3 linked regions of the Oreochromis niloticus genome follow. The protein of the gene in region 3 binds, or shares a complex with, the protein of the main gene of each other region. Links are inferred from orthologs where the notes say so. Each region holds a gene or a part of one and is shown on either strand. Other genes may lie near its edges. The genes, in order: pigo, pigg and pigf.

Region 1 (10,350 bases), on a different chromosome or scaffold from region 3:
GTCAATGCTTTTGCATTCTTTCGCAAATGTAGCTGGGTAATTATGTCAAGGCCATCAATGAGCCACTGTCAATATGTGACATTGAAATCGCGTTTGAATTTGCGCTTGTTTTTTGCTTTTGCATTGGCAAAATTTAGCAGTCTTTGCAAACTTCAAAAAGCAAATGGCCTAGATCTTGGTTCCACTTACCCCTTACCCGTGACTTCAGTGGAAATTTCAGATTCAGGATCTGACACAGACTGATTCATGTTCTACACAGTTCTTACAAGTTCATAGGAATTTCTGTTCAATTAGAACCAAATATTTGAGTTGATGATTGTAATTTTTATACAGTTATTGTAATTTGATGTTTTGTTTCCTTTACAATATTATACTTTAATGTACGATATTGTAAAGGAAACAAGACATCAGTCAAAAAATTGTTCTCTTTTTAATTCGGGCTACCAAAAACTGAAGCGTGCCTTCCCAAAGGGCTACCAGGGATTTTGAAATTGTGTGTGTGTGTGTGTGTGTGTGTGTGTGTGTGTGTGTGTGTGTGTGTGTGTGTGTGTGTGTGTGTGTGTGTGTGTGCAACTTTTTTTGATATTTGATATTTTCTGATATTTGCTTATCAAGTTGCACCTATTGCACCTGCATATTTTCTTACTTTCTTTTGGTAATTATTTATTCTTCCTACTGTTTCACTTGTTGTTTGGTAGCATGATGCAATGCCAAGACCTAAGTAACTGTGTTTCATTCATATCATGTCAAATTGTTGAATGACAATAAAACTGAGTCTGATATTTGACCACTCTGCTTGGCAGAATTGGGAGAGTTAATTTAAACTGGTTGGTTTCCTGACGTGGACTCAGCTTTTGTGCTTCATTCCTAAATTTTCAATAGGATTAAGACTGGGGCTATATAAAAGCCGCTCCAGAAATGTAATGTCAGCCTGTTTTATCCACTCCATAACCAGATTTGATGTGTGTTTTTCATTGTCTTCATTGACCAAATTGGTCACACTCTAGAGCCCTGTAAGACATCTGACTATCTTGTATTTTTGTACACTTGTTTGATGATCTTAGATTCTGCAGCTGTTTAGAAATGGCTTCAAGTTATCTTTCTAACTTGTGTAAATGTACAATTCTCCTTAGATCTTCACTGAATTCCTTGAACTTTCACATTGGTCTGAGTATTGGCCACTTCAGTGAGTGCTGTCAAATCATTTTAATGCTGGCAAATGGAAACTACCAGTTGTAGTCAGTCATGATGGCAGTCTTGGCCTTGTCAAGTTAAAACACATTGTAGAACCTTCAGCACCACTTATGAACACAATTAAGTGATTGTATGTTTATATTTGAGCCCGTATGTATACATACAATCCTACTTCAATTCTCATTTGTTTAAAGTAATTAAAGATGTATGCTGTACAATCATTCCACTTCAAAGAAATCATTAAAAGCCCAAACATTACCATGTCATTCATACCATGAACATTTTAGTGCATTTTATTTTGATAGACTACAAAAGAAACTTGCCTTTAAGCAACAATACTATAACTCATTTTGCTTTATTATTGGAACTATGTCATTAAAATTGAAAACATTATTCACTGCTGGCACACCCTAACATTTTCCCTTTTGTTATCTATAGGGTTTGAACTTCCTCATACCCATACTTGACAGAATTCGCTATGTTCAAAGTCTCAAAGAAATTGTGATTGATGTCCCAGAGCAGTCTGCAGTATCCCTAGGTAAGTAAAACATTGTTTATTTCTCATTATTCACAGGTGGACGAGCAGGCTTATTTTTTTAAACAGTATTGATTGTTTTCTTCATATTTTTATACTTTCTTTGAACTTGCAGATAATGTAACACTGCAGATTGATGGCGTGCTTTACTTAAGGATACTAGACCCTTTTAAGGTATGCTGGCAACAATTAGAACAGATCCAAATATCTTCTTTCTTGTTTTTTTTAAATTCACTTTATACTTTTGTTTGTTCACAGGCCAGCTATGGTGTTGAGGATCCAGAGTATGCTGTCACACAGTTGGCACAGACCACCATGCGTTCAGAACTGGGCAAACTCACATTGGACAAAGTGTTCCGAGTAAAGACAAACTGCTGTTTCATCTCATATCTTTTCTCTGTTCATGAAGGGACAAGTTGTATTTTATCTTTGCATTTGTTTTTAAGGAAAGGGAGTCTCTGAATTCCAACATCGTCCATTCCATTAACCAAGCTTCAGACGAGTGGGGAATCCGTTGCCTTCGTTATGAAATCAAAGATATACACGTTCCACCTCGTGTCAAAGAGTCCATGCAGATGCAGGTGAGAGAAACAAAAGAGCTTTTTGGAGCACAATTTTTAGTTTTTAATTCACTGCACGATCTTATGGTACAAATGGGTATTACATGAAAGTACAGCTTAGCCATCCAAGTACAGTTCATATCTTCAACAGAAAGCATAGACTTTTTGTAGTCGAATAACTTGTTTTCTTATATTGTGTTGGTTAGTTTGGTTAAGTTTAAGAGGTTTTACACTGATTCCTAAAAACTAGAGTTCATAGTACCTTAAAGAAATTATAGGTCTTTTCAGACAAGGTCAGAAACATTTTTTGCATATAGCGGTAGATATTTCAACTGTGGGGACAAGACTAAATCACTTAAATTTACTGAAGAGAACACTTTATTCACCCCATGTAGGTGGAAGCTGAGCGTAAAAAGAGAGCCACGGTGCTGGAGTCTGAGGGGACAAGAGAATCAGCCATTAATGTCGCCGAGGGTCGTAAACAAGCTCAGATCTTAGCCTCGGAGGGTGAAAAAGCAGAACAGATCAATAAAGCGGCTGGTAGGTGCATTTAGTTGGTTTATCACTCCAATTTCCACAAATTATCTCACATCTTTTTGCTTTTAGAGGCTAATATGCTCCCTGTTACCAACTACTCTGCTCCCTCCAGGTGAGGCCCAAGCAGTTCTAGCCAAAGCTGAGGCCAAAGCCAAGGCCATCCGTATGTTGTCAGAGGCTTTGACAGAGCAGGTAATGTTCTTTTCCATTTTCACAGTCTGACTTTCAAAAGAGTTTTCATTTAATCATGTTTTTTTTTTCCTTTTAAATTCAGAATGGAAATGCTGCCGCTTCACTAAGTGTAGCCGAGCAGTATGTGTCTGCTTTCTCAAACCTCGCTAAAGAGTCAAACACCATCCTTCTGCCCACTAACACTGGTGACATTAGTGGAATGGTTTCACAGGTATGTCTACTATCCAATAGTCCCAACTATTGGATTTATATGTTAACAGCTTCTAAATTATTAAGTTTACATGCCCCTAATGATGCTTATCTTGTCTTCTTGCCACTCAGGCTATGACTATTTACAGCACGCTGGCAAAGCCAAGCATGAGGGTAACTCCAGAGGTTGTGGAGGAGAACCGTGAAGAGGCTACGAACCAGTCGGGATCACCTCAAGAACAGAGAATTAATGAATGAACTCAAACTAATAAATGACACAGAACCAGAAGAAGCAGTTTATGTTGAAGGTCCACAGTTTGTTCTCACACAGACCTTAAAGAGACAGGACAAAAGGGAAAAATTGCCAACTTTAAAACTCTTCCGAAGCCTTGTCCTGGAGCCTGGGGGAAAAGTTACACCTTTTGTATGGGGATTGGTAATCTTCACTGTGTATGGTTTAATTAGTGTATGTTTGAGAAAGTAACACCAGCCTCCAGCCAAATACACAGATACCAGAGTCTATCCAGCTGACATGGATGTCAGCACAGACATGGATGCAAAAATAAGTCTCCCCTGAGCTATTTTATATTTTAATATGTTGAGCCCTTTTGACCTCTCTACCTGAGGTTTTTGTCATTGTTTTCTCACTTTGCAGCCTATTTTCCATGTTTTCCCAAATGACTATATTCAGGTTCTCTGAGATTATTAATAATTATATAATAATCAAAGCCAGCTCAGGTGAAAATATATACGTAGGTATTATTTACAGAAATAGGTGACAATTCTCCCTCTACTCTTTGTGTTGATGGGACCACCGACTTTAAGTTGCTGCATGTGATGTCTGGCTGGATTCCTCACAATGTTTCTAAAAGTGTATTAATTTCCCAGTTTACTACGTTTTTGGAAACATTACCCTATCGATAATAAAGCTGTATCCCCATGAAAAGGTTACATTAGAATTTCCTTTAGGAAAAAAAAAAAAAACTTTTTGAAATGATTAAGAGAGAATTTTTTTTGTCAAAGACTAGGTAATGTCCCGTGTCAGCTCGATGATCAAAATATTCCTCTCCTCCGAGTATTTGTATTCATATCTGATGTCTTATCGCCAGATATATTTATTAAATTTCAAGATTCACTGCAAAGACGAAGTTTGTTTTGTTATTTCTGTTTTCTACAAAATAATGGAATATGAACTGGGCAACTGGGCATGTTCAGTCTGAGAAGATTTGAAAAGATGTGGTTAGATGAAATATTAGGACAAAAATGTTCAAAATATGCAAACATGTTTAAAACTGTCAAATGGCTATAAAAATAAAAATAACACACCCATGCTGATTTAACAAAATCTGTAAAAGTAAATACTTTCGCCTATCTTGTTACCTGATAAACAAGATAGACAAACATGGAAAGCGCTGTTGGTTTATTAGCCCTCTACCTTGCCTTGCAGGCATAAACGTGTATTTACATGAACTGTGGGCAGTGACTTGCACTTGCCTCTCAGCAAAAAAAGATGAGCGGTCACCTGGGGCCTTCCTATGTGGATTGTGCGTGTTTTTTCCTGTACCTGGTTCTGTCTTAGGTCCTCTCACAGTCCGAAAACATCTGTTAGGTTAACTGCAGATTCTGAATTGGCTGTAGAGTATGAAGACTTATGTCTTTGTGAATTCTTGAGATGGTCATTTTCACCACTACCATCTTGGTGTTTTGAAGCCAGATGTAATGAGTGGTCTGAATGTGAAACCAAACGCTCGTTGATTAAATATTTGTCACGGAAAAGTTGGTAGCCAATGAGCTTGCCCTGGCTAATTTTTCACTCAACCCTTAGAAGATCAAAATTTATTAAATGGACTCAGTGTTTCACTGTTTCAAGATCTAAAGGCCATTTTCACAGCCACAGCCTTTGATTGTCTTTTTACAATCACAGGTTGTGGCTATTAAAAACAAAGGAGGCTTAACAAACTTGGCCACTGGATTCACTTTCTGCAACTGTAGCAGTCCAGGGTGCAACTTGCTTTTTTCCCAGTGACAGCTGGGATTGCCTTTAGTACCCCTAGCTACCCTAAATTGTATCAGTTAAGTCTAATTTGATTTTACGTTAATAAACCAACCAACAAAAAAAAACAAAAAAACAATATTGTAGTAGACAAAGATATGAAATATCATTAAATTAAAATGTTTGTGACCATTATTGATATTTTATAATAACTTTTACTAAACCTATTTCTAATCCATTCTTATTTAAGGGTGATTTCTCTGCAGAATTTCTGACGTGTTTAGCAATTTTCAGAGAAGCGCTAAAGCCGTTGTTCCCTGTAAGTCACAGAGCGGGGCAAAGCAAACGTATTCATGGTGTTACACAGAAAAGCGCCCGCCGTGTTCCTTCCACGCTAAGGTTCCTATCTACCACCAGTCATCTAATCTCATTGTACCAGAGTCCCAATGAAGGTGAGCGTGTTGCTCCGCTCTCTGTTTACCTGAGGCACCTGTGCTCCTGTGTTGTTAATACACACAGTCACCCCCAACGTCCGGCCGGGAGAGGACGAAAACTAGCTGCCACAAGGTCAGTGACAAAAGGCGAAGCGTGCTAGCTTCTGCTAACAGCGTTAACTTAACCGTCATTCATGTTAGCCACCTGTGCGGCTCAACTGCAAAAGAGGTTTTAGTTGGAGCTTAAAATTTCAGTCACCTTACACGTTATCTTCTTCTATAACAGGTGTAGCTCACAGGCAGCTGTTCCGCTCATTTTTTTGTGTGTTTGTTACCTCTATGTAAACCAAATGTTACTGTATTTCACCTGACCTGCTCTTACCTGTGCATGTAGGATGAAGGGGCTGCCTGTGCTGTCCCTGCTTTTCTGGATGTGTGCGGTGTTCTTCGTGGGCATCTACCTGTTCGTGGGTGGATTTTTGCTGGTCAGGTTGGAGGTTAACAGAACCAGCACCTGCGGAGACGTGCTCGAGCCCGGAGAGGAGCCGGTGGACTTCTGTCGAGCTCAGCCGCGCTTCCGCAAGGTTGTCCTTCTCATTATCGACGCCCTGAAGATCGACTTCGCCCGGTATGACCCCGACAAGACGGCACCACGACCTTATGAGAATAAGTTACCTGTGCTGGAAGAGACGGTGTCATCCAGGCCTTTACAAAGCCGCCTGTACCCCTTCCGTGCTGACCCACCTACGACCACCATGCAGAGGATAAAGGGGTTCACGACTGGATCTTTGCCGACGTTTGTAGATGTAGGTAACAACTTTGCATCCAGTGCCATCTTGGAGGACAATCTTATTCACCAGTTTGGACAAGTAGGTGAGTTATTACAAGTGTCTGTAAATTATAAAAATATAATACATTCATGTAAAGAGCTTTATGGGAAACATACAGATGAGGACAACGTTGGGATGTAGGGATTTTCAGCAAAGCATTTGCTAAACAATAGCCTCCCAGAAAGCAGACCTCTTTATTGAGCCACAAACCACTGCTATGGTCAATGACAGGAGACCATCAAATCTGGAGGAGCTCGAGAGATTTGTCAAAGAAGAATCAGTTGGGTTTGCTCAGAAGACTTGTGAGCTTTGCTGAAAACTACAACAAAAGACCACAGGCTGTTATCTTGCAAAAAGGATAAATAATCAATTATTAGCATCAGGAGGCTAATAATTTTGACCCTAATAGTGTTTGGTTTTGTTTCTGTGGGTAAAGTAAAGTAATATAAGCATCAATAATTCTCTGTTCATCTGTAGACATGCTCTTTTCTGCCTGGCAATACCACAAATCTAGGACTTTTAAAACCAGAAAACCAACTGTGCCATCTGATTTTGCTCATATAAATCTTTCTGTCTCTCAATAGGCAAACGTGTGGTGTTTATGGGTGACGACACTTGGGAGAGTCTTTTTCCTAAGAAGTTTTACCGCTCTCTGCCCTTCCCTTCTTTTAATGTCAAGGATCTCCACACTGTGGATAATGGGATTCTCCAGCACCTCTACAACACTAGTATGTAGTTACTTAATATGCATTTATTGTGCAATTAAAACCTACATTTAACAAATAGCCTCTGTTGCCAGGAAACTGTGCAAAATCAAAATAATTTTGCACCAACACTTGTTTATGCGGTTGATGTATTTGTGTTTCATCTCCTTTTGTTTGTCTCTTGCTGTTGGTTTTAATAGTGGTGGGCGATGACTGGGATGTCCTAGTGGCTCATTTCCTTGGAGTCGATCACTGTGGTCACAGGTTTGGCCCGGATCACCCAGCCATGGCTGACAAACTCACGCAGATGGATGGAGTCATCAGGTCAGGCAGTAGTACAGATGCTACATGCTTGTTTCACGCCATTATCCAGATGCAGCTGGATCATCAGCTGTTGCCACAGTGCACTTGTAGTGCTGTAGATATGTCATGATACCAGCACTATTATTGTAATATGTTGGCCCAGATCAAGCAGTTGAACATTAGAAAGCACCTGGCATGACCTGTGAAAACTCTGCTTTTCCTCTAGGTCTGTGATTGACCGTCTGCAGAATGACACACTCTTGGTGGTGATGGGAGATCACGGAATGACAGATACTGGAGATCATGGTGGAGAAAGTCAGAAAGAGACTGATGCTGCCATCTTCCTCTACAGTCCTTCTCCCATGTTTCATGGACCCCCATCACAGGTGGGTAGAATGCACCTTTTGAAACAATCCTACTGACATGCTGTGACTAATTCTTATTTAAAATAAACCAATTCTACATCACTTGAGTTTGTATAAAATATAAAAAATTAACAGTGAAGACATACTGTCATAATCAAAACAAATCACTAGTGTACGTTAACAAAGAAATTGTTAAATGACAGTTTTGGCCCAAGTGTATACAATATCCATCAATTCATTTTGTGCTGCTTTTCTGGGTAGCAAGAACAGCAATCCAAGCAGAGATGACTAGGCCTGATTCTCTAGCTCTCCTGGTGAGACACAGAGTTGTTCCAGAGCCAGCTCAGAGACTCACAATCTTCATTGTGCCCTGGGCCTAATCTGGGGTCGCCTCCCAGTAGGACACCTAACCAAGGAAGCTACCAGGAGGCATCATAGTTAGATGCCTGCACAGTCTCACCTGGCTCCTTCTGGTGTCAGGAAGTAGAAGCTTTATGCTGAGCCCATCCTAAATGACAGAGGTCTTCAACCCTATCTCCAAGACACCCTTTTGAGAAAGCTCATTTCTGCCTCTTGTAGTCTTGATGTAATTTTTGTGGTCACTACCCAGGGCTTGTTCCCATAGATGACTGTGGGATCCATGAGTAAATTCAGGGTTCAGCCCCCTGTTTATGACAACAGACTGGTACAGCATCTGCATTGCTGTGGACACTGCACCAATCTGTACAATGTCTGCTCCTCTCTCGCCTCCACATGAGGCACTAGATCATTCCCACTGATATACATAGTGTAGTGACCAGTGCTTATATCAGTAATTTAACTATGTAAAAGAACCGCTGAAAACTGCTGTAAAAGTCAGTTTAATTCAGAGTGAGAGTTGAGCACAGAACAAGAAGTTATGAGAGCACACTCATCATATTGTATCCCAGTAATGGGCAGTCACATGTTTAGTGGTAGAAACATTTCACTCTTGTTGCTTTTCAGACCAACACCATCAGTTCAGTCCACAAATGAGTTAAAAAGGAAGAACAAAGTCAAGTCAAATATATAACTAACACAACTGTTTTCAGTTACTTGTGTGTTTGTCTTTATCCTGTCTGCAAAGGCACATTTACGACATGTCGATCTCTCAGAATAACTGCTGTAATAAAAACATGAAGCATTAAACCACTGATGCATGCCCATTTCTGTTCATGCTTGGCTGTGCAGTTCCCAGAATCCATTAAATTGATGCTGGCAGGTGGTCTCCGCCTTTTTTTCATAGATAAAAGTGGATCTCGCACTAGAAAAGAGAGCTCAAGTACCGATTTCCATAATTGCAGCCTAACTGGAGAGCTATATCATATGCCGTGAAAAGTCATTAGATGCAAGAGAGAAATTACACTGCTATTTAAAAAAAGGCAGAACTTAGTAGACACTTTTTTTTTTCTTCCCCCCCCCCCCCCAGGCATTTTTGCCACTGCTAGGAAGTATTGCTGTTATCAAGCACAACCCTGATTTAAGAAAGGCTACAAGATAAAATATCACTCACTGAGTTTAACTGACAACCCAGCCTTGGAACAGCTAGTTATTTTGCTATGTGCTAAAAATATTTACTTCAAAATATCACAGATGATTATAAGGGTCAAAGCACAATTTAGATCACGAGAACACAGAATAATGTAATGTGACACATTTTTATTTTTCCCCCTGTGTATTTCCCAGAATGAACCAGATGTGGTGCCACAGACTGACCTGGTGCCCACCCTGGCTCTGCTACTAGGAGTTCCTATTCCGTATAGTAATGTTGGGCAGGTTCTCTTGCCTTTATTTCCACCGCATGAGCAGACAGAAGGTGCAGTTGGAGGTCTCAGCCAGCTGGAGGCACTGTGGATCAACACAAAACAGGTATGCTGCTCAGCAAAGAACTGTCTAGAACACTTTTTGAGCATCTGTACACAGAAAAATCTTTTTATATATTCACATATCCTGGAGCCTTTTCAGGAGTTGTTGTTTTTATGGTTTGTGTGTTAAATTTTATCTCTGTTTCTGAAGGTCAACCGTTTCCTGGAGACTTACTCTGGCATGGCCAAAGACATCCCACCAGAGAGCCTCTCTCGGCTGAAGAGTGAATTTGCCCTCTTGTCTTCTGAGTTTCTCAGCGCTGTTAGAGAGGGTCGTTCACCCTCCCCGCAGCTAGCCTCTTCTCTGCAGGCTTACCTCACCTCTGTCAGAGACACCTGCCGAGCCACCTGGGCCCGATTTAACCCACTGAAGATGGCGGCAGGTTTAGCCATCCTGGCATTTGCTTGTCTGATGTGTTTCATCTTGTCTGAACTGTCTCTAGTGCTGATCAGGGAGAACGGTGCATTACTGAAGACTCCAGTTGTTGTGTCACTGACAGTGGGGGTTAGTGTGGCTGCTGCTCAGCTACTCATACGGGGCTACATTGAGGTGATGTGGTGCCTTGCAGCTGCTGCTTTCAGCTCTGAACTCCTTTTCCTTTGGCGTTCACGCCAACTGAGCACCTCTACA
Region 2 (10,657 bases), on a different chromosome or scaffold from region 3:
AGACAAGAGGAGTGGGCCAATATTCCAAGACTACAGACTGCAGTCTCGAAAGGATTGTCAAGGACCGGCCATAAGTACTCAAGAACTTACAGACTGTGGACTGAGTTCTTAAGTACATAAGAGAACTAGTCAATATTTTGAACTTCATATGAATGGACTGAGTCTGGTGACATTCAGTGCCAACATGCACAGATGTCTTCAGGAAAGGGACTACAACTGCCACATTCCTAGTGTCAAACCACTCAATTAACAGAAAAGTACTCCATGACTTCATTAGTTTAGTCATCTAGTCTACAACATCAGAAGTATCTTACCTAGGCTAAGAAGCCACTTCTGACTTGACTTCTTCTAAGAAGAAAAAAAACTGGAGTGCTGTTCAGTGGTCCAAAGTGCTCCTTCAGATAAAAGCAAATGTTGCATTCATTTGGAAATCAAGGTGTTAGAGTGAAGAGCGCAGAGGCACAGAATCCATGGTCTTTGAAGTCCAGTGGAAACTTGTGCAGTCTTTGATGATTTGGGATGACATGTCCTCTGCTGGTGTTGGTGGTGGTTAGTCCACTGTGTTTTATCAAGTCCAAAGTCAGCACAGTCATCTACCAGGAGATTGTAGAGCACTTCATGCTTCAGTCTGCTGACAAGCTTTACAGAGATGCTGATTTCTTTTTCCACCAGGACTTAGCAACTGACCAAACAGTTTGCTGACCATGTTATTACTGAGCTTGACGGGCAAACCAATTCATCTGACCTGAAGCCCACGGAGAATCCATTGAGTACTGTAAAGTAGGAGATGAGAAACACCCGACCCAAAAATACAGACAAGCTGAAGACTTTTATCAAAGCAACCTGTGCTTCAGTAACACCTCAGCCTCCATGTCATAACACACCCATGCAATAGTTTGTGTTAACGGAGGCCCAACCAGTGTCGAGTGTATAAATAAACTTGCTTTTCGAGAAGTTGGACATTTCTTTATTATAAATCATTCATTGATTACTAAATTGATTACAATACTAAAATAATCTGAGATAATGAATTCCTGATTTTAATGAGCTATAAGCCACAATCATCAAAGTCCAAACAAAAAAAGAATTGAAGTATTTCCCTTTATGTTTAATAAATACAGAACATGTAAATGTTGACTTTAAAAAAAAAAGACTCTTTCTCTACCCTCCATTCTCCACCAGAGTTACTTTTTTGTGCCTCAACCTCTCATCGTGTCCACTGCCTAACCAACACATGCTTTCTGTCACCCTCACTAATCTGAAGATTGCCGAGTCAGCACTCTCACGCCTCCCATGCCAGACGCTACAGAGGAGAACTGTGTCCATACTGTGAACCTTCAGCAGCACGTTTCTCCAGGTCTGAGTTTGTATAGCAGTCTCCTTCTGTTAAAACAACTCGATGCTGTCAGCACATCCTCGATCCTCCCACCGCAGACCGCTTCCTCTAAGGCACAGGCTCTGCTTTTAATTTTGCCCTCTGACACTCAGGCACACATATTCTGCTTCACCTGACAATTTCAGTTAGATGCCTTCCCCCAAGCTCAGCACTACCCGACACCCATGGACAAAAGAGGGCTGCTCTTTTTCCCCGAAAATCATTCCCTTTGCAAAATCTCTTCAATACCACTGACAACAGCGCCTGACTGAAATATCAAGCTGTATATCACAAACATACAGGTAAAGGTTTTTACGTTGTCCATTTTGCACCAATATAAACACCTTTTATACGATTGCAGATTTTGAAATGGTTAGCCCGTCACACAGCTCCTGTTTGCAGCACATGTAGCTGAGTACCGATCACAGACGAGCAGGGGGGATTTACTAATAAACAATGACTCCATCTCTCTTTTGTAAATGTACATATAATGCTATTGGCTGATGATATCAATATCAGATATATTCCCTAAAAAGTATCAGCAAGGGCTCCAGGTAGGCTTTAATTGGTGGTGTGCTCTCTGTCTGTCTGCGATGTTAACGTGTTACAGCACAGCAGACTGTCATGAAAGGTGCACATGACATGACTCCAACTCCCTCCTGGCTCCGCTCCCAAAATACTCTCAGCAACATGACACATCATCCAAATGTGACAACACACCATGTTTTCACGCTTTCAGCCATCTAACCCTATTTTCAGACACGGGCTGAAAACTTAGAGGCTAATTCAAAATGTTCCTCACAGGTTCTTTTTACAAGCTTATTCTGGGCTCACAGAAGTACTGCCATTTCTAGCTTAAACACCTCTGATCATGGAATGATTTAAATCCTTCTCAGTACAAGTCAAAATTACAATCCTGGTCTTCACCAGTTTCACGTTTGTCTACAATCAAATTATTAAGAATCTGCAATTCTTAAAGGTGCTTTTGGGTAATTGCACTATGTATATATTGTTGTATTACCAGATCTTTGCACACCTCAATCACAGAACTCTTTTAAACCGCCCTAATAAATCAGGTTGGCACCAGAATCAACCTTCTCAAGACGTTCATCCATATCTAAAACAGTGATTAAGATCCTTTTGGGTGAAGATTTGGAGCTTTTCTTCATCTCCACCCCAATCACTGGTGGTGTACCTCAGGAGTCATCTTTAGGAGCTTTTTTGTTTATTTACATGTTCACTTTAGGCAAAATTTTTCATGAGCGCAATATCTCATTTCACTGTTATGCTAACATAAAACAAATATAGTAGTTTAATCATTAGTAGTCAACCTGCATAAGTTCCATCCTTAGCTGTCTCCAGGAATTTCATCTGAATTAAGTGCAAATAAGACAGAAGTTAAAAACGTAGCACCACCTTACTGGGTGGTGCTAAGTTGTTTTTTCAAGCTGAAGGAATTTTCCTAACTTAAGTCCATTCGCTCCCTTAAGGATATTAATACCAAAAGTGAATACGCACAAATCTGTGTGTATATCATGCGTACGAGCATTTCACACACAAATCCATCATTTATCAACATTTTCATACCTGAATTTGTTCATACTTTAGGAACAAATGCGAATCCTGTGTACAAACAAATTAAAGCCTGGCTTCCTTAGGAATTTAAACACAAGTCTTTAAAATGAATACTACTGCTACCACTAATAATAATAACAAGAATAAAAATAATAACTTTTATTATTGCATTTTGGTTATTATTTATAGTTTCCTATAACAGCATGAACCAGAAAATGTTCAGAATTACAATAAAATATTTTTTAAGACAAAATACTAAATGGAAAGGTGCAGGCTTTAACCTTTTTGATTTAAATATATTCCATTATCAGGTATCATATCATATATTAAATGTTCTTATCTTTTATTAAAAATGACTTCTATCATTGCTAGATGTCACACACTGTAGAATTTCTTGGCACTATTCCATGGATGCTGGAGATCTGGATTTTTTTTCTCTTTCATTGCAGTGATTTTCTCATCTGAGCTCTTAGATATTGCCAAACAATTGTTTCACTATGAGTAATAGTACGCAATCAAATGCTCTCCATCCACCGAATTTATCAGAAAGATTTGAAGACATTTATGTTTTCTATGGTTTTTGCTCGCTTCCAATTGTCTAGCTATTTTCTTTTAATCAAGACTTATACTATCCACAAGCATTTTAAAGTGTTATATTTTATTCTTCCTCCATACTGTTTTATTATGTTTCCTGTCTTGATTTCTCGCACTTTTTTTAACTGTCTGTTCACATAAACGCCCAATTTTCTCGTTAGTGTGAATCAACAGATTTCTATAAAGCACCAAAACAGATGAGATTTAGGGATGTTGTTTAAATCTGCATTTGAGTTGCAAAGCGGACAAAATGGACAGTAAACTGAGCATTAATACTGAGCCTGGGTTTCATGCCTGCAATGGAAAATATTACATGCCTTCAGCACCATAGAGAAAGCAGAGAAATTCGTGTGTATTTAAAGAAGAACTACAATGTTACAAGGTTAGGTTAGGTATGAACAACTGAATATTCCTGGCATCATCCGCTGCATGTTTTCACTACATAATAAAGTGCTAATGTAGAGTTTCAGAGATGCAGATTTATTTGTGGAGTTGGAAAGGATTTGAGAAATGCTGACAGTTTGGATCCAAGTGGTTGACTCACTACAGCAAACGCTAATCCAGAATTCTAACAGACACACGCCATGATGACAGACAGTGGACAGATTTGATGGGTGAGCTCTCATTTCAACATCATGCTAGTGGCATCCTACCTTGATCCTGGGCATAGTTACTGTAGGTGGTCTCGCCTTGGCCACAAAGCTGTGTGATGAGCCTCTTTCCACCACGTGCCTTGTGTAGGGCATATACATACGACCATTGGGTCCAAACACAAAGTCCTCTCGGAGGGCATCCACTAACATAATAACCACCCTTTTAAACAGGGGCTGCGGGAGGCGCGATGAATTAGGAGCGCTTCCTGTGAGGTTAAAAGAAAGCTTATGAGTTTTAACAGATTTAAGTCAACAGTACAGGCAGAAGAGAGGAGTGTGAGCAGATGTGGATGAGGCTGGACTCACCTGTCAGCGGCTCGGCTGGCAGATCTGACAGCTTGCTCTTGGATGAGAAAGAAGACTTGACAGGTACGGGGAAAAATCCCCGCAGGAAAAGTGCAATGCCAATCACTTCGAATATTAAAATAAAGGAGGCAAAAACAGACGAGCGGACCTTCATGGTGTTGGCCGACGGACACTTTAGGAAAACAGTAAGTTAGGCTACAGGGATAACTTGCTAGCTAGCAACCAATATAACGCTCTCTACTCTGTTTACTTAAATAAAAAAGAGCAGAAAAAGTCATGGTATCCCATTTCAGGTGGAAGCGCTGTGAATCAAAATATTAAAAAGCTACGTGTCAATGACCTGTAGTTGCGTGGTGTATATGTGGGCGTATTTTACAATAAAAACACTACCAGCAGTTAGCACTGTGTTCATTCATAGCTGCTTCCGCATTGATAGCATGAAACTACGGGTGGGACTTGGAGCCTAACAACACCAAATCGCGTTTCCTACGACGCTTGCTTGTCAGAGTGACACTGTTATTGTAAGGTCTTCACCTTACTATATAAAGCACCCCGAGGCAACTGCTGATGTGTTTTGGTACTTTAAAATTGAATTGAATATTACAGTTTTATACACACACACACACTATGACTTTCTGTTTAATTATAACGAAAGTTTTCCATCTGAATGTTTGCAATTATACTGTAGTACTGTTCTCAATAGCTTCCATCTCAACAGCAGAAGCAGTTGAAAGCTATTACTTGTCTGACAGCCACATAAAAACTGCCTGTTGGCAAACCTATGGCCATTCATTCCCTACGTTCCTGATTAATGGGCTCATTAGTCATCCGTCAGAGTCGTATGTGCTCTCCCTGCTATGCTGACAAAATGTGAAGGAAAAACAAGCCTATAATCTGTAACAGTCCACGCAGATTAATAAGAAGTGTTCCTCTCTTGAATCCACTACACGCGCTGAAGTACACTTTGTGAGCGTTTGTCCTCCTCCTCTTTACTGCAGCAAAATGCCAGCTGGTCCCTGAATTGGATTTGCTTACATTGCCTAAGTACAAAGGACAGCACTTAGAGGCAATGAGATACTTTCATCGGGGAAATGAACTGCTGGGGACAGTGTTGAATCTTTTGCACAATTTAAATGTGACACTGATGTGGTCTGACGCTGATGAAGCCTGATTGGAAATTAGCTGGGGACGGAATTAACTTCCACCTTACGGTGTGCTTGAGCTCCTGCTGCCATCTACTGGAAAAACAGGATAGACAACAATGAAGTTAGTTTTCCCCTAGAAACGCAGCATGAATGATGCGGAATATAAATTGTACTTCTTCCCTTTTTTTCATCTGAAAAGGTCTAAAAAACAACAAATAAAGACGTAGTAAGTATGAAGGACTAGGTTCTAAATAATATTGATAGGACCATGGGGTAAATTTAAAGTGCAGGTTGTTTTCCTAAACAAAGATGGTTTGATTTGAGTTATGCTTGCATTGAAGCACTGTTAACTGATGAAAATGTCCAATCAGGCTTCATCAGCGTCAGACCACATCAGTATATTTGTTCATAGTACATCTGTATATCTGCCCGTCTGTACAGCAAACTGTATTTCATTACCCGTATTTATACATATGTAATGACAATAAAGTTGAATCCTAATCCTAACACATCTGATGAAAGCCATTCTTTCAATGACCAAAACAATATCCTGTCAAACAAAAATAATTTACATAAATCTTTTATGAAAGAAGGACAAGCAATCATGTTATTCACCGTGTAACTCTAAAAATCAGAATGCTTATATAATTGTGGAGGTACTACTTCATGTCTTCTACCAATCTACCAATTTACTGAACAATTTTCTGGCCAAGTAAAGTTGTGAAATGTGATTTCATGATTGCGGACGATTTGTTTTTTTCTCTAACTAAAGCTTAGAAACAGTGAAGGTGGTTAAAGTCACTGATGTTTATTACCAATCAAATCTGTGAAAACTAGTACTTATCTAGTTATACCAGAAAATATTTTAAAATTGAGTCATTGCCTTTTTGGAAAAGGTGTCATTCCTGAAGTATTAGTGATCCCAGCTATCAAAGCATTTTCATTGTCACGTAAAAGTGTCGTCTAGGACTACAATAGGACAGTGGCTGTCTGCATTTACTACTAACTAAAGCCAAACAGCCAGCGAAAGCAGTCTGATAGTTTCTAGTCTGGGAAGTTCCACATTAGGATAATGAAGGATGGAAATGGCATCTATATGTTTTTTTTCTTTAAAACGCCGAGTGTCAGTGCCTTCCTCGATACTGTGTGATACTTGAAAAAAAACAAAACAAAAAAACATTAGTAACTGCTGTACGTGATGGCACCAAAGATAATGCGTCATTTTCAGGTGTAACAGAAAGCAAAAGTGTATTTTTCCCCTAAGTCCCTTTGACATACTTGAATTGAGTTGCCATGGCGACCGTGCCCTGCTGAACTGCTTGGCCTCCTCATTGCGGCTCCCAGTTACATTTCTATATAATTCTATAATTTGATCAGGGCGCATACTGAACAATATAGCAGGTAGATGTTGTACAGAACTGTACTATGTGAGCTCCTCGTTTTACTTCCTGTTGAACCAGTGTGGGGTTTTGACATTTCAAACATCTAGTCATTCTCCTGATTGGTTTCACTGCATTTATGTAAATGTTACAAGTATAACTATAAGTTATAACTATAATGGTCATGAACATGAAGGTGTAATGATGAAAGAATGGTTTGTAATGTTGGTGTTGTCTGAGAGAAAAGAGCCAATAACTTGTGACACATGTACAAATAAGGATTTTCACTCCAGTTTGCAGAACTTTATTCAAAGAAAAGGTAACAGAGCCTTTCAATAACAAAAACCTGCTCCATGTTGTTTCATACGTAGTGTCACAGTCTATTTTTCTTTCCTCTTCAGAACACTAATAAAGGCATCTTTGGGAACTTCCACATTGCCGATCCGCCTCATCTTCTTTTTACCTTCTGCCTGTTTCTTCAGGAGCTTCATCTTCCGTGTAATGTCACCTCCATACTACCAAGACAAAAAAAATGATTTTAAGGCATCAGTGGTATATTTGGACTTTTCTAAGAAGAAAGAAAAAACAAGCTTTACTTACACATTTTGCGAGAACGTTTTTTCTATACGCCTTTATTCTGGAAGAGGCACGTGTGGTCATACCACATATTAAATACAGTACTTTACTTTTGATTTCTACACATCATTTTAACAAAATCTTAGCTCTTGTACTTACGTTTCTCTTGCAATGACTTTACTTCCAATAGCTGCCTGTATGGCAATCTCAAACATCTGCCTTGGGATGGAGTCCTTTAGTCGCTCACACATGGCTTTCCCTGTACTGTACGCACGCTCCCTGTAATGAAAACACACTTATCAGAACAAATCATAAAACTGTTAAAGTACTGACGGGTGCCCATATATCAGCTTCACCCTGACAGGTAAAGCTGATGAAAAAGCAAATGAGAGTGGAGCATAAAGTCGACTACCCTCACCACGTCACCTTAAAATACAGTAGTGAATACTGACATGCCCGTGTGTCATTTACAATTAATCAATAAGCGTTCTGTTTGGGAGGTCAGCACAAAATCAAACCGTGGTTGAAGCCAGAGGACTCACGGTACTTTGAAATTTAAACATTTGTCCTTAAATCTAGAGTCCTAGCTTAAAAACAGACTGTGGAAAAAGCAGCATTATTGGTGGGTCTGTCCTCTAAACACTGCAGAATGCAAAGCTGGATTTTCACCAAAGTCAGTTTGACACTTGAAGTTTCACTAAACACTGTCCTGACCAATATAATATTTGGTGATTTAAAAATCCAGTATATGAAGCTGATATTTTTTTCTTTCACAAAACAAACTGATTTCTTGAACAGTTGATATGTGTAGTTATTTATGAGTCCCTACTAAGATAATATGACAACGCAATTTAAAGTTTGGTTGTTTTTATGGCTTTAGAAACATGTTGCCGACAGGGAAGTTGCAGAGTGCCCTCTGGTGTATAAACTGTGTAACACCAACAGTCCTAACATGAATGAAGGGTGTTTCTCTCATCTCCGCTTCACTTTTTAACTTTGCTTATACAGGTTGTTATAAATGCAGATACCAATTTATCAGCAAACAGCTGATATCGTCTGGGCTCTAAGCTGTTTGAAGTAGGTGAAGTTTTCTGTTTTCTGTTGACACACCAGTGCTGGTGCAAGGAGAGACTTCTGAATGCTTTAGCTCACATCACAGAGACAGACATCAGCTGAGCGATTGAAAGGAAACAGTTAAAAGTCATAACATTTGTCTGATTTATTTTCTTACACAATTATCTTATTTAGAATAATTATGTTGTGCAAACTCTTTCAGACTGTTTTTGAACATGTAAATAACACTAACTGGAAGCATGCATACTCAAAAGCTTCAGTTATGTGTCCATACCTTGTTTTTTTTTCCTTTTTCACACAACAATCAAACGTGATATTTGCCTAATTTAAAACAGCGCTACTAAGAAGATACTCCAAAGAGCTTGCATAGCTCTGTCCAAAGTTTTAAAATTATGCTTTATATTAGTATTATATAAAAATATAATGTCTGTGAAGGTTCTCAGTCATCCAGGTCATGGTTATCTAAGGAGCTTTAAAAGAAAAGCGACTGGACTTCTTGAAGTCTTTTGAAGACATTTCATCTATCAGCCAAGGTTTCAGGTGAACCCACTGTGAGAGCCTGGCCCACCCTAACCCTTTTGAGATCCCTTCCTAGACGCCTTAACCCCCACTTACATAAGTCACATGATAGGGTGGGGCAAGGTCTCACAATGGGTTCACCCTTATAGTGGTCCACATCAGTTTTCACACCCTGGGTCATGTGATTAGGCAGATGATCAATAGTGGGTCAACGACCCTCTTAAGGACACTCCCAGTAGGGTTTAAAAATCTGGGACTCTCCACCAATTACCTTTAGAACTGAAGAAGCTTCTCGGATGAGAGGTGAAACGTCTTCAAGAAACTTCAAGAAGTTCAGAAGCTCCTTAGATAAAAATACTTATTAATAATATATATTTACTTGTTTGTTTATTAGTAAGATATGTTAAGCCCGTGTAAAAATGAAAAAGCTTTCAGTTTTCTCGTGATTTGATAAAATGAACTAGGGTCAGTTAGCTCCATCCTCTCAAATGAAGCATGAACTTTATCACCCATCTCTTTGGAGAAACTGGATCGTACATTTTCTATACATCTGTTTTCAAACTGTAAGATATGTTAATGACTTCTCTACTTGAAAAGGTGTAGAGAACACGCCTCCAATAAAAGACATTCTGCTCTGTGATTGGTGCGTTGGCCTTAAAGAACAGACCGAAGCTTCGCTCGAGTCGGCTGAGCTCCAAGGCTTACTGTATAAATTGTCTGAGAGTAGCCATCATTGGCGAAGCGTAGCGCCCTTCAATTACCTACGTCTGTGCTGGCTCCTGTACCGCCTTTGCTAGTGAGTACATTAAACACAGATCTTGCTGAGCGTCATCACTTTTCTTCTGTAAAGTTACTCCTTTGTCCTTGTCCAGTGTGTAAAGTCATGTTAACAGCAGCTGCCAAAAGACCTTTTTTTCTTAAATGTTAACCATAGTGCTGAATACATTTCATGCTCCACAGGCAAAGAGTAATTACTATAGTAATGAAGGACTATATACTGTAACCTTGCCAGTAACAATAACAATGAAGGTAAGAATATGACCAAAAAAATAAATAACAAGGTGCTCTTAAGTAACATCCAGTCACATGTCCTGGCCAAAAAAAGTAAATTATTCAGTGAAAATTAACACAAAAGTCTCAATTTTTACGTCAAAGCATTATCTGAAATGTACCTGTGTACAACTGTGGTCAGCTCTTCTACTGGGCGTCCATTCAGCAGAATATCCATCTTTATCAAATCAGCAGCCTGGTAACCTGCATTCTCATAATCAAAGCTGCACAACATAAAAATACATAAGGTGCACAGGAGAGGCTACGCCATTAGAGTGCATGGAAAATAATTTTACATCAAAATTAAAATGAATTAATAACCTAATGTGTGAAACTTTTTTTAAAACTTTTAACATTGGATACAATGTAACAATGGATACTTTCAATAATCTACACTTTCTTTCTATAACT
Region 3 (10,189 bases):
ATCAGTTACCGGCAGGGAGTGTGGTGAGGGGAGATAGGCCTCCACACTTTGGAGGGCCTGGGAGTTCCCAGGGAGGTGGAGTCTAAGACCTGACCTGACATATAGACACAGACAAACAGGCAAACACAGACACAAACATGCTTTCCCACCCTCATGCACACATATACAAACACTCAGCACTCACCCAACGTAGGGATAGACATACATGGACATGTACACACAATCATACTCCCCAAACATACTCTATACCCCGGGTCCAGGTACCCTCGCCCCCAGAGGGGCAAACGGCACCCAGACCCTTTATGGCTATTCTGATCTCTTCTATGCAAAGGACCTTGCTCCAGAAGTCTTTTGGTTTGTTCAGATGCAACTTGGCAAACCTAAGCTGTGCTGCCATGTTTGTGTTAGAGAAAAGAGGCTTTCTTCTGGTCTTGTGTGAATTTGCAGGCACATTCATTCCTGGGAAGATTGAATGTTTTCCACTTTATAATAATTTTTAATCACTGTAGAATGATCAAACCATAAACAGACTGATGAACATCAACAAATGCTTCTCTAAGGTCATTGCTGACGTCTTTCTTCCTTGGCATCATGTTAAAATACACCTGAATGCTCCAGACAGGCAAACTGCTAAAACCTATGCTTTTATAGAGATGCTCACACTTGTTGATGATCAAACCAAAACTAAATGGATTTGATTATCAGTACCTGAATGCTACCTACCCTCTTAATTCCCTAGTTTTTTACAGGATTGCAGGATTGTAGTAAAGGAATAAATTATGCAGAACTGACATTTTTCTTTGTGCTTCTGTGCTTTTGCACAGGAAAGATGAGCGAGGTTATTGGTAATGTCAGCCATGTGCTAACTGTCTAATTTTACTTATACTGCACGGTGTTTGGCCAAAAAAAAGTTGTTTAGCCCGTGCAACAGGGACAGTGATTGATTAATGTACTGTGATCCACTCTCAGATCCTGTTTAGGTAGCTGTTTGGGGAGTTTATTTCCCACTTCCAATATGAAGAGAAAGGTTATACAAGCCAGGAAGCACTGGATCTCAGTTAACCGTTCTCATAGAGCAATGATTGATATCAGCTAAGTGGGTAAAAATCTTTATTCTTTCCTTTCATGTTTTTTTCTGTAATTACTAGTAACGGATGCTAATAAGATGCTTTCTTGAGAGTAGCTTTACATTAAAAGTTATAGCCTTATAGTTATAGCCTTCATCAAGTCCTCAGTGCTTAGGCTCAGTGGAGTTCACCTTACAATAACAACACATTTGCTCTGTGTGATTAGCACATCATAGCTGCAGATCTCAGGCCATCTATCAGTGTTTTCCTAACCACTTATCCAACTGTCATAGCGTGAGAGACACGGTACAGCAAACACAGCCAACACAGAGAGACAACTTTTCACTCTCAAATCCACATCTACAACTGATTTATAGTCAACCTAACAAGCATGTTATCATACTGTGGAAGACACATCAGCTCCCAGAAGAAGTTTGAACCCAGAACCTTCTTGTAGTGTGGTGACAGTGCTAACCACTGTACCACACTAATCTCAGGGCAAACCCGGTATTTCCTTGTTTCTCACTTCAGCAGCACTTATATAAACAATTAATGGTTAAAGAGTGTCATCTAGTGGTAAGAATTTAGTTGAAGTTTACTTTAAGAGTTAAATTCTAAAAATTGGACTAAAATGAGAACTTTTAAAGTTCATAGAGTCACATTATAACATGTATAAATGTTTAAAACATATTCAACCATTTAAAAAAGTTTACTTGCTAATCTCATGATACATCAGTGCAGTTCTTTATATGTCTGCTATGCCCTCCGATTGTTTGGCCACTTCATGAAAGACAGCTGCTCTCGCCTGTCTTTGTTGCAGTTCTCCCACACCTGACTGCCAGAGCCGTACGGGATTATGCTTGTTTGTAAAATCCATGTAATTAGCTCCAGCAGCAAGTGCCCCTTTGCATTTAGTCACCAAGCTAAGAGATGCATGTTGATTCAGGATTACTTATAGTGATCTTGGGAGTTGAACTGTGGCAAACCTGTGGGACCTGCTCTGTTCTGTTGTGTTTGGTTAAACTTGTCTGTATGTTAGCAGAAGCTTTTGTGGCCAGGCAGGGAGCGTAGGCTTTGTATTTGTGCTTTGACATGTAACTTGGTGCTTCTTTTCTTTTTTAGCAATAAAAATAAGTAGTTTTTTTTCTGTTTACTTTATTATTGTAAATTGATTGTAAATAAATGCCTTGTTTGTTCGACAATCTTGTATGAATGTTTGTGATTTGGTCTGCTGGTATGTTATGTTGTACTCCATGCCCTCCATAAACTGCAGATAAAAGCCCTTTAGATATGCAAGTCAGAGATGATTGTAGGCTTATATTCTTGAGTTACTATCACTGGTTTTAAAGAAAAGAAAAGAAAAGAAAAGAAAAGAAAAGAAAAGAAAATTGGATATCAGGTCATCTCCAAAGTACATGTATGTACATTGTGAATAATAGTAATAGTAATTTTGGACTTTAAATTATTTCTTTCAACTGTTCCTTTTCCAAGGGAATAATTGTACAGAACACATCTTGAATGACTTTAAAAAAACAAACAAAAAAACAAAAACAAGAATTGGGTGCACAGGTTTGGATTTTCTATAATCCACACAGGGTCAAAAGTATACATACAGGATCAAAAATATACACACACTATCATAAGTTTTTCATTAAATGGTGCTGAATGTTCTACAATGTATTTTAACCTGACAAGGCCAAAACTTCTTAACTCCTCCTCAGTGATCATGATTGACTACAACTGGTAGTTTCGCTTTGCTAACACAAAAATAATTTGTTTTACAACACTCATTGGAGTCATCAATACTCAGAACAATAGGAAAGTCAAAAGAACTCGGTGAAGATCTAAAAAGCAGAACTGTAGATTTACAAAATTAGGTACTTTTCTTGGAGCAATTTTAAACAACTGTGGACTCCAAAATCGTCAGTTCAAACAACTGTATGTAAATACAAACTACTTACATGTGCTACCACTTTGCCAAGGTTTGAATGAGGACGGAAACGAGGAATCACCAAGGCACAAGATTGGTCATGAACTAGAAACTTTTCGAACACCATCGTTCATTTGAAGTGACTTTTATACTGCAAAGGACTGGTGGTAGCATAATGCTGCCAGTGATACTGGTAGACTGCATAAGGTGGATGGAATCAAATAAGGAGCCAGAACTATGCCACAAACCATATTCTTATTTTTCTTTTGTTTGTTTTAAGTCATTCAAGCAGCCCTTGCACACTGGTGACATTATGCCATTGAACTGAAACAAATCCAGATTTTACTCTGTTCACCTGTTGTATTCCGGGCTCCATCCTTCCAGGTGTCAGGAGTGATGACCTTACCGAGCTTCTTCTCACCTGGAGATAAAAAGCAACGCAGCATATGTAACAAAAGCAACGCAGTGGATTTAAAGGAAATAAGCCTAGAAGGTGAAGGTATGTTTTCCTGAACCAAAACAACAGTGAGGACAGTAATAACAACAGTTAGCATCACATAGCGTTAGCCAGCTTTCTAAGGATCATCGAGCTTCTCTTAACGGGAAAAAAGACATTAGAATTGAAGATCTAAAATAAATTAAGTGATAGGAGAATGGCGAGATACCTACACTTTTCACAAACCATTGTCCTTCTTTGTTTGTTAAAATAGAAGCAGAAGCGTTAGCTGCGTTTAGCTTTCTCTGTTAATGTAAACTTCCGGTCGTTACTTCCGTTTCCTTGCAGCTCGCAAACGATTGATTGGTTAAAGCCTAGATTTCAAATCTCAGATGCCATTGGTTAGCTTTACTGCGCTTCGGCGAGGGTCCAAGTAACCCGTTCTGTGATTGGTTGCAGTTTCCCCTGTTCATCTGTAAAGTGGACGAAAACCTGTAAGTTTTCTTTAAAAATTAAAAGTTTGCTGCTGCATTATTTCACACGTGTGAATATAACGTGTGAAATATAACGTATGAAATACGTGTGAAATAATTAAATCCAATAAATAATAATAAAAAACTTTTAAAGCTTACAAACAGTAGGCGACTATAGCAGTCAGGCAGAGATAGTTTAAAGAACACTGAAGAATCTCATTTTTCTATTTCCCGTCAGAATAACGTTATAGCAGTGAAAGTAGAAAAAGAATGGCCCTCACTGATAAATAGTGGTTCACATCTAGCTACATGTGACAGTGTTCACATGTTCTGATTAAATAGGGAAACTGATTAAATAAAGGATTATGTTCAAACAAGTATACCACAAACATACAATTTGTTTTCAACAAAAAAAAAATCTGTGGTAAAAGTGGCTTAAAACAAAATCCACAATAATAATAAAATGAACGGTGGTTTATGGATGTAGTAAAGGAGGATAGGGTGGAGAGGGTTGGTGTGACAGATGAGCAGGGTAGTGGTAGGATGAGATGGAGGCAGATGATCCACAGACCCATAAAGGGAGCAGCTGAGAGATCTGAAAATGGATTAGAAAATGTTCTACACAAATATAAAAACACAAAAGTCTCAATGACTCCTTTGTCACTTTGGATTGAATTACACTGGACCAATTGCATTGGCCCAGGTCTCACATGTGAAAGATGAGAAAAGCCCATCTCCCACCAACCATTCTCACCACCTACTACAGAGGGAGTATCGAGAGCATCCTGAGCAGCTGCATGACTGTCTGGTATGGAAACTGCACCGTGTTAGATCGCAAGACCATACAGCGTAAAGTGAGAACAGCTGAGAAGATCACTGGAGCCTGTCTTCCCTCCAACACAGACACTTATTGAATCAACTGCATCCACAAACCCACCAGCATTGTGGAGGACCCCACACACCCCTCACACACACTCTTCACCCTCCTGCTTTCTGGTAAGACATACCGAAGCACTCACGCCCTCAGTGCCAGACTACAAAACAGTTTCTTCCTCCAAGCTGTCAGACTCCTGAATACTCAGAGACAAGACTGACACACCCACACACCTTTATACATTCCATTACCTCAAGTACTTATTGCACAATGCTAAAGTCTTTTTGTAAAACTATTGCACCATCTTGTGTCTGTATGGTTCTGCTCTATCTGGTGTCGCACTGTTTTTTGCCATTTTTGCACACTTGCACTTTAATTAGTCCTGTGTTGATTTACTGTTATATGTAGCACCATGGTCTTGGATGAAAGCTTTTTCGTTTCACTGTGGCAGCAACAAATGTATACTAAATGCATGGCTGTCTGTAATATATTTAAAGTTGTTAAAACTATAATGTACTTTTATTGAACTTTGTCTTGCCTCATCTACAAGGAATAAGTATTGTACTTTTATTTTGAAGTGAAAGCGGAAGTGAGCATGGTTCCATGTTTACGGAAACAAGGTCAAGCGATTCATCTATGGATGTTACCTGTGCTACAAATCCAGCGTTACGTTGAGGTTTAAAGTGTTTTGTGTTCAATTTGTCGGTGTCCTGTTGTAGTTCGCTACAGCCTTCACAATGTGGGACCATGAAATCAGAGCCATGGCGTCCACTCACGCTATCATCGCCGCTTCGGTGTTCATGGCGACGGTGCTACCTGCTGTGCTCGTACCGGGCTTCTCGGTGTACGGCACACACCTGCTGTGGCTCTACTCGGTGTCCGCTGCGGTCACCGCGGTCAGCGTGGCCGTGTTCTGGCTGCTCGGGATCACACCGCCCGCCAAGAAGCACACGCTGGGATACAAGGTGCTGATAACGCTTTAATAATGATGGAGTGATGTGTGCAGTGCCACATGGGCTGTTTTATTTTTTTTAAAAGTGCAATCAATGCAGTTTTTAAAAGAGGGTTTCATTTGTTAAGGGGGGAAAGCGATCCAAACCGACCTGGCCCTATGTGAAACACTAATTGCCCCATTCAAATTTTGTCTTGCTAGTCCACAGAATATTTTCCCAAAATTCTAAGGGGATCAATAAGATGCTGTTTGGCAAATATGAGACAAGCTTTTGTTTTAAATTTGGTCAGCAGTGGTTTTGTCCTTGGAACTCTTCCATGGATGCCATTTTTGCCCAGTCTTTGTGTGTGGTTTGTGGATTGTGGTGTAATGTGTTGCTCTTAGACTACTCCACTTTGTCAGACAGACTCTGTTCAAGTGATATTTTAATTCAACACGTCTGGCAGTAATCAGGCCAGGGTATGGCAAGTAAAATTAAAGTTGCCTTTCCAAAAAAAGAAAAACATCTTGACTTATTTGTATATAAATTAATGTGAATACTTGACTCTTGCATGTTCATCAAACCAAGATCTTTTTTCCCAGGAAGTGATCTTTTTATATCTGGATCTTAAAGGTTTGACTGTTTTCTCGCTGTTTTTTTTCTGCAGCTGTCGAGGTTGCTTCGCTCCTGCCTGTACTTCTTCCTGTCGTGCCTGTTCTTCCACACTGTTGTTGTCTTATACGGAGCTCCACTGATCGAGTGAGTTGTTGTTTTTGCTCGTGTTTACATGTATGTGTTTAACAGAGGTTGATAAAGAGAGACGCAGAGAGCAGAGATCGCCACAGTAATACACAATAAACTAAGGATCCATGGAAGGATCACACATAAATGAATGAAAACAGCAGGCAACTACAGAAATCTTCAAACCCTGAAATGATTCTGTCACTTATAAAAAGTCAAGTGAACTGAATTTCCCAGAGGAACCCACCCGAGGGATTAATAAAGTTTCATCTAATCTAATCTAAAGTGTTTTACTTTGTCTCTGCTTGCTTTTTTATGTGCTTTTTTTTTTTTAAACAAAAAACAAAACTGTCAATAACGCTCTTATTGTAGTTGTCGTTGATACCGTGAACCTATCATTTCTTACAGATCTGCCTTAGAAACATTCTCCCTTGCTGTGCTGCTGACTTCGTTAACCACGCTGAGGTGTCTCTGTGTCCTCGGCCCCAACGTCCAGGCCTGGATACGAGTCTTCAGTCGCCACGGGTAAGGCTGAAATCATTTTCCTTCTTTTTCTTTCCTCCTGGCTTTTCACATGACTCTGTGTTGAAGATAGTAACTGTTCTTGCTTTTTCTTTGTCTCTGGCTCCAGAGCTATGTCTGTGTGGGACACCTGTCTGCAGATCACTGTGGCCTGCACACTTGTTGGAGCCTGGGTCGGAGCATTCCCCATACCTCTGGACTGGGATAGGCCCTGGCAGGTAATTCTATGCATGGACAAAGCGTATACTCTTGGATTTGTATCCTCACATTAGGTCTTATACAGTCTAGCATGTGACTTTTTTATGTTTAGGCTCCTTTTTCATTAAATTACATGCTGCAGTTTAATAAACGGGTTCCTGATATTTCCTCTACACACATTCATTTCATTTAGATAAAAATAACCCAAGAACTGGCTCAGTCAGTAGTCTGGCTGTGGCACTTTGTAAGCAAATTAGCTGGCAATGAAGGTACATTCAGTACTTTTTCTTTCCCCAAGTGTCGACGCAGCAGATGGATCTACGTGTTTAATTTGGCACAGAGTTTGTGCCAGATGCCCTTCCTGACACAACCTTCACATTTATCTGAGCTTGTGACCCCGAGGCTGGGTTTGTGTCTTCTGGTCTGAAACCAGGGATCTTTTCCATCCCTGGTTTAATTTGTTAACCACTAAAGCACGGAGAATCAAATGTCAATTTTAAATTTTTTTTGCAAATAAAATGAATATTTCTTGCTTTGGAAGAGAGAGTCTGACTAAATCTCTAATCCACTGTATGTAGAAATGTTCTCTATCCACAGTGGAGTTTTTGCTCTTAAGACAGGGAACTAACACGACCATTTAAACCATATTACCCGCGAAGCCTCTCTTAGATTTTTCTGAGGTTTTCTCAAATGACTGCTGGATTCACAAAGGCCTCTTAACTGCATGGACTTGTAAATTACTGGTTTCATTTTGATGAATGGAGGAGGTGGATGTCCTTGTGTTTTCATTATTCCGTTAAAAATACCTTTAAAATGACCTTAAATGGGTACTTTTCTGCTTTGTTAGTTGGTGAGTAGCAAAAGTGTTGTAGAAGGGGAGAAAAGGAAGAGAAAACAGTAAAAAAATTGGAATACACGTGTATTAATAGCAGCAACATCAGGCTGATGTGCTGTAGTGACAGAAGTAAAGATTGTCTTTCAAAAGCAGGAATGAAATGATAGGTTGCTATGGTGATATATAACACAAGTGTGCCAGAGGATGATACTGGGCACTAACCTGCATGAAGCCGGTGTGGTAGCTGTCAGAGTGAAAAAGCTGGTGTAAATTACACATTTTTTTTTTGTAGTTGATTTAAGTTGTTAACTTCCAAATTCTCCATCACGATGATTTTTTTTTTTTAAGCACTGGACAGAGTAATCAGCCAATGAATAATGAATTAGATTGTTTTTTTAATGGAAAATGGAACACATTAAAGTTATAATTGCACAGGGAATTCTGTGTAAAATGACTGAAGGAAAATGCAGAGGTAATTGGGGTGTAACTCAAATTGACAGACTAATAGTTCAGCTTCTCTTTGATGTATCGGACCAGTGTCAGGCTTTTAGTGAACAATCATGCTCACTTTTCTACTACTTCTGTGTTTTTGTAGGTCTGGCCTGTTTCCTGCAGTTTTGGCTCTTTGTTCGGCTACTTGACCGGGCTTGTTGCAGCTCCAGCGTGGATCCATTATCACCGCAAACAGCTCACATACAAGTGCAAGTGATAGTCAGACACACGTGTATTATGCCTGTGCTTGTGCGAATGTATCCACGATGGTGTGACTCCTCATCCTGCTGAATTTCTCTCACTTTTTATTATTTATTTGGGAGCATTCACCCCCTTTGCAGCCTGTAGGGTTGGCAGTTTTGTAACAGCTCAGAGGTATTATTTTGTACACGTGATGGCTGAAACTGAATATTTTTAAATGTAATAAAATATTTTCTTCGGTAACGATGTGTATTTACTTGTGAAATTGGGCGATTAAAGCTATTCGACGTCAGTGATGTGTCGCTGAAAAACCTGCAGGTGGTGCTGTTGGTTCGCCACCTGTGTGTGTTTATGTGAAGGTGAGTAGAGTTTTAATGAAAACAAGAGACTGAGGCTCATTTGCAGTGAAATACAAAGTAATCAGTATTGTGGTTGGGCGGCCATTTATTGAGTCATGAGAGGAAGTTAGAAAATTAAAGAGAAAATGTAAACCTGCTGCAGAGTTGGCTTCCATTCTCACACACACACACTGACGCTATTCTGCACCTGAAGCCGACTGCTGATGAATACTGTTCCTTTTTAAACGACCATTAATCTCGCTCCAACTCTATTTCAACACCCTCCCCGCCGCCCCAGCTCCCATTCCACCTTTTTCACATCCTTGGGCAATCATATTGATTCACTTTCATTTCGAGGACATTAATTTTCCTCCTTTCACGCCGCACCACATCTCTTAGTCCTCCCTTGCACCCAGTCACCGCAATGAAACTTACATTTTCCAGACCGGAATGTCAAATTGAAAAGTAAATGAGTGATGTTGCTTGCAGATCGTCTGAACGCTTGGTATACATAAATAATCATGGCTATGATTTAAAAAAAAAAAAAAAGAGGAAGAAATTGTCGGTTATCTTTGCTGTTTGAGCATTTTGTGCTGGAAAGTTTCAGTACAAAATCAGAGGCAAAGCTGCCCAATCGCCCTGTGCTTGAACTCCTTCCTTGTTGCCAGGGAAAAAACAGCCTGAAGGAAACAGATGAAAGATGGAGCAGAGGAAAGTCTTTGAAAGTCTACATATGCTTACAGCATCAATCAATGGCCTAATCTTTCCCTTCTTCTCTTTGATGAAACCCAATCCGACCTCATGCTGTTAACTCTATTACCCTTGTGCTCCATGCTTTTCTTTTTCTTGTCTTTTTTTTTTTTTAATTTTACACTTCACTTCTGATGCGTCATTACATGTGGAGAGCAGGGGAGCTGGAGAGGAGGGCTCGGGAAGAGCATAAGGTATGATCAAACAGGTATTACACTGACCTTGTGCTTTGTATTAAAAAGCTAAGTCTTAAAAAAAGCTAAGATTAGATATGTTTTTGAGTCCTTTAAGGGTTCTTTTGCAGGTGTAGTCTATTTACTCTGATGACTGAAATCTGGTTGAAGTTGGTTTGCTTGTGCGCTCAGTCACCTGTGGTTTTTTCAATCTGTGAGACACGCAC

The links.
Region 1: pigf (region 3) and pigo share a complex: the UniProt entries of both Homo sapiens proteins name them as parts of the ethanolamine phosphate transferase 3 complex. The link is inferred for Oreochromis niloticus from reciprocal best matches to the Homo sapiens genes PIGF and PIGO.
Region 2: pigf (region 3) and pigg share a complex: the UniProt entries of both Homo sapiens proteins name them as parts of the ethanolamine phosphate transferase 2 complex. The link is inferred for Oreochromis niloticus from reciprocal best matches to the Homo sapiens genes PIGF and PIGG.

What each region holds. Positions count from the first base shown.
Region 1 is NC_031972.2:28,371,933-28,382,282, forward strand, and holds the start of pigo (GPI ethanolamine phosphate transferase 3), read left to right. Parts: upstream 1-6,389; coding exon 6,390-6,507; intron 6,508-7,048; coding exon 7,049-7,192; intron 7,193-7,368; coding exon 7,369-7,492; intron 7,493-7,697; coding exon 7,698-7,857; intron 7,858-9,540; coding exon 9,541-9,723; intron 9,724-9,870; coding exon 9,871-10,350. Other genes in the region: stoml2 (stomatin-like protein 2, mitochondrial), read left to right, coding at 1,633-1,732, 1,845-1,903, 1,988-2,089, 2,176-2,310, 2,685-2,829, 2,939-3,018, 3,101-3,229, 3,340-3,465.
Region 2 is NC_031966.2:32,764,134-32,774,790, forward strand, and holds the start of pigg (GPI ethanolamine phosphate transferase 2), read right to left. Parts: upstream 4,959-10,657; 5' UTR 4,658-4,958; coding exon 4,504-4,657; intron 4,404-4,503; coding exon 4,198-4,403; intron 1-4,197. Other genes in the region: guf1 (translation factor Guf1, mitochondrial), read right to left, coding at 7,408-7,542, 7,628-7,664, 7,763-7,882, 10,369-10,470.
Region 3 is NC_031973.2:10,622,521-10,632,709, reverse strand, and holds pigf (phosphatidylinositol-glycan biosynthesis class F protein), read left to right. Parts: upstream 1-5,359; 5' UTR 5,360-5,517; coding exon 5,518-5,745; intron 5,746-6,379; coding exon 6,380-6,471; intron 6,472-6,861; coding exon 6,862-6,978; intron 6,979-7,084; coding exon 7,085-7,193; intron 7,194-8,603; coding exon 8,604-8,717; 3' UTR 8,718-8,944; downstream 8,945-10,189. Other genes in the region: cript (cysteine-rich PDZ-binding protein), read right to left, coding at 3,353-3,418, 3,667-3,682.